2 linked regions of the Diceros bicornis minor genome follow. The protein of the gene in region 1 purifies or fractionates together with the protein of each later gene. This does not show direct contact. Links are inferred from orthologs where the notes say so. Each region holds a gene or a part of one and is shown in the gene's direction. Other genes may lie near its edges.

Region 1 (5,569 bases):
CTCCTCCTTTTTTTTTCCCCCCAAAGCCCCAGTAGATAGTTGTATGTCATAGTTGCACATCCTTCTAGTTGCTGTATGTGGGACGCCGCCTCAGCATGGCCAGAGAAGCAGTGCATTGGTGCCCACCGGGGATCCGAACCCTGGGCCGCCAGTAGTGGAGCGCGTGCACTTAACCGCTAAACCACGGGGCAGCCCCTGAGGATTATTTTATTGTTAATTGTCTTGTCTTCTGTTTCAGAACACCAGCTACCGAAAGGCTACAGGCAGAGTTCAGTGCATTTAATACGCAGAGCAACAGATACCCCCAAATCAGTGATGAAATCTAAGTAATTCCCTTTTTCTAGTTAGCCAATGGCGGCTACAAGCTCCCAATAGGGTGTCACCAGAAGCTGAAAAGACGGTGAGCCATAAACTTAGTTGTCTTACCCCCTCCTGTGCTGACATACCTTACAGGTTGGAGTGGCCCATGTAAACGGCTGCCGCTGGGATCCTGCCAGTAGTAACCCCCATGGCAAATACAAGCCCTGGCTAGGGTCAGGAGACGGATCATAATTCTGGCTTCTCCACTAAATGAGAATACTTGGGAACTCGTTTTCCATTAATTAATTCGTTCAGCAAATATTAATTCATTCCAACTATGCGCCAGGAACTGTGCTAAGGACATAACTGTGATAGCCAACAGGCCGAGGTCTTTCCATTGCTGGAATCTGCATTCCAGCGGAAGGGTCGGGGGAGGCATATACCATAACCTATGGCTATTTCCCCACCTCTAAAACGGTGGAGTAGGCTTTAGGTTCAATTTAGATAGTTAGGGCCTGCTAATTTAGCATCTGATCAAAGCTTCGAGTATAGCACAAGCGGGCCGCTACCAGTCAGCACGCCGTTGCTCGTGCGAATATTGCAGCTTTCCTTTACACAGCGGGTACTACTAACACAGCTCGGCAGAACTGTTGTCAACATGCTACCCCGCCCCAGAACGCAAACCCGACTCGCTGCTCTGCCTCTGACCTGTGGTTAGCAGCCACACCTATTTTCAAAAGGTTGGAGGCGGTATGGTATTTGGTATTCCGAAAGGCTGTTTGAAAAATTTCCTTTGGCCCAAATCATGTATTTGCTAGTCGACATGGGTTAGGGGTGCAGGAAAGTTGGTTTCAGTTTAGCAGGGCAGCAAGGTGCTGGGGAGGATAGGTGGCGTCAGGCGACCTTAACATTTTGACGTGGAACTGAATCAAAAAGACGGCACTGGTGAAGAGAAGCAGGAGCAGTGGCTCCCGACTAGGCAGAGGCCGTGCAGGTTTCAAGGCAGCGCTCCGTCCGCCACACCGAGCCTGGAAGCTTCTTTCCAAACGCACGCTTTCAAAGCATTCTAGCCGGCCCTAGGCAGCGCCCACCCCGCCACTATCCGCAGCAGAGCGCACGGCTGCGCGGCGCCCAAACCTGCAGCAGGGCTGCAGGAAGCGGCCAGAAATCCCGTCACTGCGCATGCCCCAGGGCCATCGCGCTCTCCCGCAGGTGCCCCGCCCGCCGCCAGCGCCGCGGGCCACGCCCATGACGTCCGCCGGCCGGGGCGGGGCCTGGGCCTGGGGGCGGGGCGAGGCGCGCGCTTGAATGGGGCGCCGCGACGAGCCGCACATTCCAGCGGGCCCACGTGACGCTGCCGCGCGGCCTGAGGTAAACAACCGCGGCCCCGCCTCCGCGCCCCTCCGCGCGCCCTGCTCTGCTCCTCGCCGGCGGGACGCGCTCCAGCGGGGCGGGCGGCTTCCTCCGAGAGTCCCCAGCGGCCGGCGCGGGCCGGAGCAGCGGCAGCGGGCGCGGCGCCCCGGGTCTGCGGGCCGAGCGCGCCGGCCGGGGTCGAGCGCGCGGCCCCTCCCCGCCCTCCCCCCGCGCGCTGTGGCGCAGCAGGAATTTGGCGGGGACCCGGGCGCTATTTGCGGCTCTTGACGCGCCGGCGGCCCTCCGGTCGTTTCTATTCTCGGGGCACTGGGTCACTGCGCTCGGCCGGCCCCCTCCCCCGGGCCCGGAGGGTGTGTCCCCCGCAGCGGGGCTCGCCGCGCCTATAAGGGGCCGAGCGGCGGGCAGGGACATGCAGCTCTACAGCAGCGTCTGCACCCACTACCCAGCCGGGGCCCCGGGGCCCACGGCCGCAGCCGCCGCGCCGCCCGCCGCCGCCGCCAGCGCCCCCTTCAAGGTCTCTCTGCAGCCGCCCGGCCCCGCCAGCGGCGCCCCGGAGCCGGAGACCGGTGAGTGCCAGCCCGCCGCGGCCGCCGAGCCGCGGGAAGCCGCCGCCGCGCCCGCCGCCAAGATGCCCGCTTTCTCCTCCTGCTTCGAGATGGTGGCCGGGGCCGCCGCCCCCGCCTCGGCCGCCGCCGGCCCGCCCGGCGGGGCCTGCAAGCCGCCGCGGCCGCCGCACTACACGTCCACGGCGCAGATCACCGTGCGGGCGCTGGGCGCCGACCGGCTCCTGCTGCACGGGCCCGAGCCCGGCGCCGCCGCGCCCGCCGCGCCCCGCGGCCGCTGCCTCCTGCTGGCCCCGGCGCCCGGCGCCCCGGTCCCGCCGCGCCGCGGCTCCTCGGCCTGGCTCCTGGAGGAGCTGCTGCGGCCCGACGGCCCCGAGCCCGCGGGCCTGGACGCGGCCCGGGAGGGGCCCGACAGAAACTTCCGACTGAGCGAGCATCGCCAGGCCCTGGCCGCCGCCAAGCACCGCGGCCCCGCGCCGCCACCGGGGAGCCCGGAGCCCGGCCCCGGCTCGTGGGCCGAGGAGCGCCCGGCCGAGAGGAGCTGCCGGGGCTGGGAGCGGGCCGGCGAGCGCGGCGACCCCCCCGGCGCGGACGAGGCCCGGCGGCCCGACCCCGAGGCCGAGGCGCCCCCGGCCCGGAGCGTGGAGGCCGCCCCGAGCGGCGCGGCCGAGGCGGTGGTCGTGGCCAGGTCGGATCCCAGAGACGAGAAACTGGCCCTGTACCTGGCGGAGGTGGAGAGGCAGGACAAGTACCTGCGCCAGCGGAACAAGTACCGCTTTCACATCATCCCCGACGGCAACTGCCTCTACCGAGCGGTCAGCAAGACGGTGTACGGGGACCAGAGCCTGCACCGCGAGCTGCGGGAGCAGACGGTGCACTACATCGCCGACCACCTCGACCACTTCAGCCCCCTGATTGAGGGCGACGTGGGCGAGTTCATCATCGCTGCTGCTCAGGACGGGGCCTGGGCCGGGTACCCGGAATTGCTGGCCATGGGGCAGATGCTGAATGTGAATATCCACTTAACGACTGGAGGGAGGTTGGAGAGCCCCACGGTGTCGACCATGATTCACTATTTGGGCCCGGAGGATTCCCTAAGGCCTAGTATTTGGCTGAGTTGGCTCAGTAATGGACATTATGATGCGGTGTTCGATCACTCCTTTCCCAATCCAGAGTACGACAGTTGGTGCAAGCAGACTCAAGTGCAAAGAAAACGCGATGAAGAACTTGCGAAGTCCATGGCCATATCCCTATCCAAAATGTATATCGAACAAAATGCATGCTCGTGAAGTGTCTGAAAACCTACACCCTGGGAGAATTGCATACGTAATTTGTGTTTGGAGAATTATATGAACTCGAATCAGGGTAATAGCACTTTTAAACTTCCTAGTAGATTTACTGTAGGTGTGATGCCTTAATCGTTTTTTTGAATGTTTTCTCAGAGCTGAAGGTTGCTGGGCACCTAAATGAGGTTTCATGATAGCTTTGGGTGATCTTATTGCTATTTATAATTTGCTGTATAAAGTTGGCACTACATAAGTTGCAAGCTGATTTCTCATAGTGTAAATTTGTTCATTCCTGGTAATCTATTTTCTATAAAAATGTATTTTTGCACAACATTTTTAAAAATTGGTGTACCTTCACCTATGATGTGTTCCATTTTGACAAACAGCTTTCCGGCATAAATCCAGAGAAGTGCTTTATATGAAGTTTATTATTTTGAACAGAGTTTGTGAATTTAGTAGTTATTTTATGTTGTTGAATTTGAATTTTGCAGTTCTTAGGTAATTATTTCAAATGGATATTGATGCATTCGTGTTACCAGATGATAGGCCCATTCCATTTTGATGAAACAAACAGATTTGTTTTGGAAATCATTATTTTTCTAGAAATGGTCAACGTTTTAAAGAGAAATACTTAAGGGAAGGTTGTGGGAAGAGTTCTTTTTTTTCTTTAAGGGATAGTACCAGCTCTTACTTGAATGAAAGTCTGATATTTGCTGACAGCAGAGTGATTATTCTGTACTCTGGTTGATGTTTAGAGTAGATTGTCTGGTGCTTTGAATTGTTTTTATTTATATTTGTCATTTTGTTATAAATGAATTTTAACATGGTCGAAGACTTTGTGACAAGATAAGCCGCCTGCTTTATATAGCATCTTGGATTCAACTAAGAGATTTAAAAATTAATAGCGTAAATGCCTGGAACCAACCTTGGCAGTTATTTTATAGCAGGAGAATACTGTCTTAATATTTTGTTCCTTTTAAATTCTTTCAGAAGGCAAAGTAGGATTGCCCTGTATTATGTACAAATAAAAATGTCTGTAAACAGAGCTTGTATGGTTTGCTGGGTCAAACAGTGTTCCCAATTGAAAATATCTCATTTCCACTTTAACTACTTTTAGTCATATTTATTAAGTAATGCAGTTTGTACTTTTTTATTTTGTAACATTTTGTGATTTTTTTTGTACAATATTGTATTTGTACAATAGAGCAATTCTCAGCTGATGGAATGAATGAATAAAATGCATAATTTTACTTTTACGTCTTTTTGGCTGAAGTGGTTTTTAAAATATAAAGTGACGTCTGTAGGAACGTTTCTTACATGTATACAATATTTTATGTGAGAAGATGTCACAATTAGGAGAGAGGTTTCTTAAGTTCTCACATGAACAGGATAGGATAATTAGTAATTTCAAAAGATAAGTCTCAATGAAATATAATTTAAAGGAGTAACTCAGGAAATTGCTCTCATTATTTCTAATTATAATTGCTATCTAAAATTACAGATGTAACCATTGGCTAATGAACAGGGAAGTACAAGTATTGTGTTAACTAACACAATGTGTAATTAAATATCATAGTTTTGTGTTCCACTCGCAGAACAGATTTTAATGTTTTAAAGAGTAACCAATGCCCTAATTTTCATCCAGTCTGGCTTCCTGGGAATTTATTAATTTTAATATGTGTTATCAGATTTAGTTGAGAATTGTACCTGTATATGTAATGCTGAGTGTTGTTTATTACAGACTAGAAACAGCTAGTTTGGATTTTTTACTTTTCAGTTGATTTAGATGTCATGGTTATAGACACCACTGAGCTTGAGTTCATTGCTTAACTGCATTTTTGGAAGGATGCCATTGGTTATCAAGGAAAGAAAATTTGTCAAAAGTTTTGTTAACTAGTCGTGCATCTCTGGTGTTTTAGGTAACATAAGGTTTGCTTCGTGGCCTCACAAGTTATGTAACTTGGGAAGAAAAATTCTCTTGAGTTACCTGGCTAAATATGATTCCTTCCCTTTTCTCCACTTGATTTAGAGCTGTTTAATTAAAAT
Region 2 (5,569 bases), on another chromosome or scaffold:
CCAAAAACTTGTCACTGAGTCTGAGAGCTCACAATATATTTGTAAGGTAGAAACATTGATTTCTGGAAATGTGGTATCTCAGAATGGGCTCCGTGCGCTAACAAAAAGTGTTTGTTACCTCTGTGGGGTGAGATTTTGTGGAACTTCCATTTATATTTTTGAAGTTAGTTTGATGTGTGTATATTGCTTTTGCCAAAAAAAGTGATAAAATATAATTTTTAATTAAAAGGGCAAGGAAACTACCTCATTGCACCTATTGCAAAAATAAATTAAATTGTCAGTACAATGCCTGTTCTTTGTGTTAGCTGTGAATCATTAAATGATGTCTTTCAAATATAGCTGGTTGTTTTCATAGGTACCTGATCATCATGATTTTGACAGTGTTTTCCAAAGCCCCTTTCACCAACAGATATGATTAACTTTGTATTTAATCAATCCATCTTTATTATTGGCTTTTAGAAATAGCAATAGATATCCATGTCTGTAAGACCTTTAAGATATTAAATAAATATAAATAATTTTTACCTTATTGTGGAATTGATATTTTCAATATTTATCCCCCAAAGCATCCCTGGGTAAAAAGTCACCCATCACCTGCACTTCTGAATATTAATCTATTCGTAACGAGTAAGGGAACCCTAGGTCATTTTCACCCAATAAAGTCTGTTTCCTGGGTTAAACTTCCCAAATAATGCCTTTGTAATTTCATTCTCTATCCCTAATCCACTAAAAAAAATAATAACTTCATCATCTACAAGATTAGGGCCAAACTCTTTTGCCAGTTCAAATCTGGCCCCACTGTATTAACCTACCTTTATTTACTTGCTGCCATTGTCCCCTGAAAGTGTGCTGGGTTCTGTTTGTTTTATACCTCCAAGCCTTTTAATTTAAACAGCATGGTGCTTCCTCTAAGATACTTTATAAATATTAGTTCATTTAATCTTCATAACAACTCTTTGAGATTGGTAGATGAGGAAAGTGAGGCACAGTTAAGTGACTTGCCCAAGCGGCAGAGCCAGGATTCAACCTGAGGCAGACAGGATCCAAAGTCAACGGTCCTTAACCACTGAAAACATTATCTTTGGTCTCAATGTATTCACCATCTGAAATATCATTCCTCCTCCTCCACTGTCTACTTGAATTTTACTACTCATCCTTTAAGACAGCTCAAGTAACACTTCTTACATGAAGTCCTTCCTTAGCTATTCCATCCCATACTCTGTTCTCTTGCTCTGGCACTACATCAGATATTATTTATTATTTAAATAACCAGTATATGTCATCTCCCCAACTGGACAATGACCACTTCCTATACTTTTCAGATGCCCCCGAGCCCCTTTCATAGTATAGGCCAAGTAGTAAGTGCTCAATAAATACTTGTTAAATGAATATGTAACCCAAAACCTTGAACAAGGCACGTTATGTTTTGCATACAGCGAAAAATTTCTTTCCAATTTAGCTTACATTTGATAGAGTCAAAACACCTATTTACACTCAGCCCCTCATCCTACTCCTCCAACTCTGCAAGTTCCGCTTAGGATTTCACTCACAGAAAGTCTGTGAAACACGAACTCTTTTTGCCAGGATCCTGCTCTCAAGCACGGAAGCCCTAATAGTAGAAGACTATTCGCAGCACCTGGTACAGCATCTAGGACACAGAACTGCACAATATAAAAGCGATATGGGAAAAGAGAGCGCGGAATGATTACTTGTCCCGGAAACAGGGGTTGGGTGGGAAAGTGTCAGCAATTTATAAAAGACAGAAGCCCATTCCGAATCTGGGAAGACAGGCGCCCGGGCTCGGACCTATGGAAAGTCTAGAAGTGGTTCAAAGCCAGAGAATCCGGAAATCTTAGGGCCTAGTAGCTAGTGGCCTAAAACAGAACAAAATGCGGTGCTGGGGCCACACCTCCCAAAGGTGCTGTTATCAGTTCTCGCCATCGATACAGCCGCAGCACCGGCCACAACCGCCAGGTAAAGCGGCCCCACAGGTCCCTCCTTGGACAGCTTTCTGAACTCGCTCAGCGAAACCCGTTGCCACCAACCCGCGAAAACTCGCAAGCAATCCCTCTCTGGGCCTGTGCAAGTGTGCCGGGAGCTGGGCGCATGCGCAACTCCTCTCACCGTGCAGGCCAATCGCAATGCGGTGCTGAGTACTACGCCTGCGCAGTAGGCCTCCAGTCGCGCTTCCCCTTCCCCTGCTCTAACAGGCCGGCTTAACTGTCCAATGCCCACCCGGAGCTGGGAGGCGGAGCCTGCGTAGAGTGCGTGTGAAGGGAGAACTGGCGGGGAGCCGGCTGGGGCCCACGGTGTTTGACCCGTCGGTCGGTGCGGGAGACGAAAGGAAAGGAGGAGGAGGTCCAGAGTAGCGGTTGCCGAAATGTTCCGGTGTGGAGGCCTGGCGGCGGGTGCTTTGAAGCAGAAGCTGGCGCCCTTGGTGCGGACAGTGTGCGTCCGAGGCCCGAGGCAGAGGAACCGGCTCCCAGGTGACTGACTGACCCATCCCGGGCAACCCCCACCTCGAAGACCAAGGGCCTGGGCTCCATGGGCTCCCTGTGCCTCACAGCCATCCCCCCACCCCCCGGGAAAAACTTCACACACTCACAGTCTCGTGAATTCCGACTTGGCGGGATCCAAACCACGAGTTTCATAAGCCATGCTGACCTGACCTTCAAGGGAATTGAACCCAGTAGTCGGCTTGAGGCCTTTTCCTGGGAGGGTTTGTTGTTCAGGGATAACAGAACAGCTGGCTGCCTCGTATTGTCCAGTGCCACCTCCTGGCCATCCCCAGGCCCCTTTTTAGAGCCATGAGGTCAAGTAGACTGTCATTTACCGATTGTGAGACTTTAAACAGGACATTTAAGCCCTACACCTCAGTTCCTTCTGTAAAAGAGGATATTACCTACTCTACCTTCCAAACCCCAGATAGGATCCATAGATTTGAGAGCCCTGTGAAACAGAGACAGTGCAGCGCAAGTAAGGAGTCGGTCTGTTGTGAGCTAGACACCAGGAGAGTTGGCCCAGAATTAATTTGAGATGTCAGTGTAATTCTTGGTGGTCTTGAATGCTTCCAAGAAACAGTTTGCAGAACATATTGTATTTGCCCTCCATGGAGTTGTTTCACCCAATTTTAGAGCTGGAAGGGATTTTGTGGTAAAGTTCAACCCACTCATTTTATAGATAATAAACTCAGGCACCGAGAGGTGAAATTACTTGCCCAAGGTCACATAGCTAATTAATAGGTACAGCAAAGGATAGGTTGCCAGTCTCTAGGCCCTTAATCCCCTTGCCACAGCTCCACATTGCTTCCTAAAGTTTGACCTCAAAAGCTTAAGAATGCATCTGGTTCCCTTTAGCCCATTGTGCGTCAGATATCCACGAATTTATCTGAGCATATCTTGAGCCTGCTCATTGTCAACCTACACAACCTCATGGGAGTAATGAATTATCCACCTGTAGGAGGTGCTGTTTATTTGGTTTTTGTTTTTGTGGGGTTTTTTTGATCAATAATCTTTGACCACCCAAGAATATTCACATTTGCAATGTCAGAGGTTATCCTTGAGGCCTTTCCAATGTGGAACCATCTTCTGGGTGCTTTAAAAAGTGGAAAGTATTTCCCTTAGATTGTTAGTGTCCTTGCAAATGTGCATTTGAACAGTTTTTCTAGTTGCTGTGCCTCAAGAAAATGTTTTCTAATGGGTATATCTGAGGTATGTCCTAAGACATATTGTTCTTGGAACTTAAAAACCCCTGCCTTAGCTTTTAAATTAATACCCTGTCTATGATGTCATCTGTATGGGTTTTGTGCATTGAAATGATGGTGCTCTATGCAAGTTGCACAGAAATTTACACAGAAACTTAGGTAAGCTGAAGATTTTCATCCACACTGGCCTTTCAAACTTTGTGTACTTAATTTGCCTAAAACTCACACTTTTTACCAGCATTCTGAAGTCCGAGCAAAAGTTCTCATCAATTATATGTGGATTTGCAAAGTTAAATTGATTTCTTAGACGTTTGAAGGTGGTTGGTGATATTTAAACTACTGAAAAATACAGACTCAAAATGTTTTTTTCCGTTGTATGACTTTGTTTGAAGGCAGTCTGCTGTAGAATATATTCTGACTTCTTGACGTATCTCTCCAGCTCTTTGTATACACTTATTCTTTGCCCTTTGGCCAAGCACCAGAGTATAACATCATATGATGCCTTTAGAAATGGGTGAGGGTGGGGTTACAATTTCAAAAATAAATGATTCTATCATTTTAGGAATTAACCCTGTTTTGTGACTTGATTACTAATTGCTTTTAATCTGATTTCTTTTTCACATGGTAGCATCTACCATATGGTTTTTGCATGGGTGGGGAAGAGGCAGTTTGTTTATATGCCGTTTCCCCCACCATTTTTCCCTTCCTCCCCCCCAATTCTTTGCCAGGATGTTAGCAAACTTTAAACCTACCTTGAAACTGATTTCATCCACATCTGTCACCATTTGTCAGGTTCATTTCCATTATATGTTACCTTTTGCCTTAAAATCATAATTGCTACTATTTGTTTATTTACTTTATTTGGATGCTCTGCCTCTTTCCAGAAATGATTGAAGGTAATTAAGAGTCATGACTTTATGTCTGCATTCAACACTGAGGAGCGGATAGATCAGGAAATAGATATTTTCTGCTCAGTAGTATTTTATTTGGTCACCAGACATTGTGCTGCCTGTGTGATCAAACTTATCACCGACCCCTGACCTGAGGGTCAAATGATTGAACATTTTTCTCTATTCAGAATCCTTCTCACCTCCTTAAAAAGGAAATTGGACTCCTTGTGGGCAAGGATCCAGACTTCCTGGACACTGCCAAATGACACTTCTTTCCTTTGAAGCCGAGAAGATGAGCCTTTGCCCACTCTTTCTCCTGAGGCAAAGCTTTCCAGAAGAAAATCTTTGGCAAGTCAGCCTTTTCTGCAACCAGTTAATATGTTATATTTTCTAGACATTTTCTAACATTTTAAGGGAGTTGCTTCATATTGTAACTTTCTTCTAGATCATGTTTCTAAAAGTTGCCTAGTTGTATAAATCGAATGGAGGGCCAACCCCAAAACCTACTGAATGAGAATCTCCAGGAGAGATCCTTGAGAATTTATATATTAACAAGCCCCTTGATGTAATTCATATGATCAGGCAAGTTTGGGAAATACTGTTTTGAATGAATAATGACTCTTTCCCTTCTGTTCCACTGACCTAAGGGTTGAAAAAACAGACTGAGCAACCTTAAGTCTCTTGTGATTTGTATCAAGCCCATTTTCTGATATTCAGAATAGTAGCAGCCATTCTTCCCTCCTAAGCTATACACTACCTGAGGACAGGGATTATGTCCTATTTATTTTTGTGCCCTCAGCATTTTTTTTTAATCTTTTGTGTGTGTGTGTGTGTGTGTGTGTGTGTGAGGAAGATCAGCCCTGAGCTAACATCCGTGCTAATCCTCCACTTTTTTTGCTGAGGAAGACCGGCTCTGAGCTAACATCTATTGCCAATCCTCCTCCTTTTTTTTTTTTCTTCCCCAAAGCCCCAGTAG

What was found. Proteins that work in one complex are often made in the same cells at the same time.
Region 2: the proteins of OTUD1 (region 1) and AIFM1 purify together in Homo sapiens (affinity purification with mass spectrometry; 3 studies listed by BioGRID, with this or other methods). This does not show direct contact. The link is inferred for Diceros bicornis minor from reciprocal best matches to the Homo sapiens genes OTUD1 and AIFM1.

Annotation. Positions count from the first base shown.
Region 1 is NC_080775.1:22,912,982-22,918,550, forward strand, and holds OTUD1 (OTU domain-containing protein 1), read left to right. Parts: upstream 1-1,716; 5' UTR 1,717-2,083; coding exon 2,084-3,526; 3' UTR 3,527-4,779; downstream 4,780-5,569. UniProt on the Homo sapiens protein: Deubiquitinating enzyme that specifically hydrolyzes 'Lys-63'-linked polyubiquitin to monoubiquitin.
Region 2 is NC_080781.1:118,855,056-118,860,624, reverse strand, and holds the start of AIFM1 (apoptosis-inducing factor 1, mitochondrial), read left to right. Parts: upstream 1-2,269; 5' UTR 2,270-2,380; coding exon 2,381-2,486; intron 2,487-5,569. UniProt on the Homo sapiens protein: Functions both as NADH oxidoreductase and as regulator of apoptosis.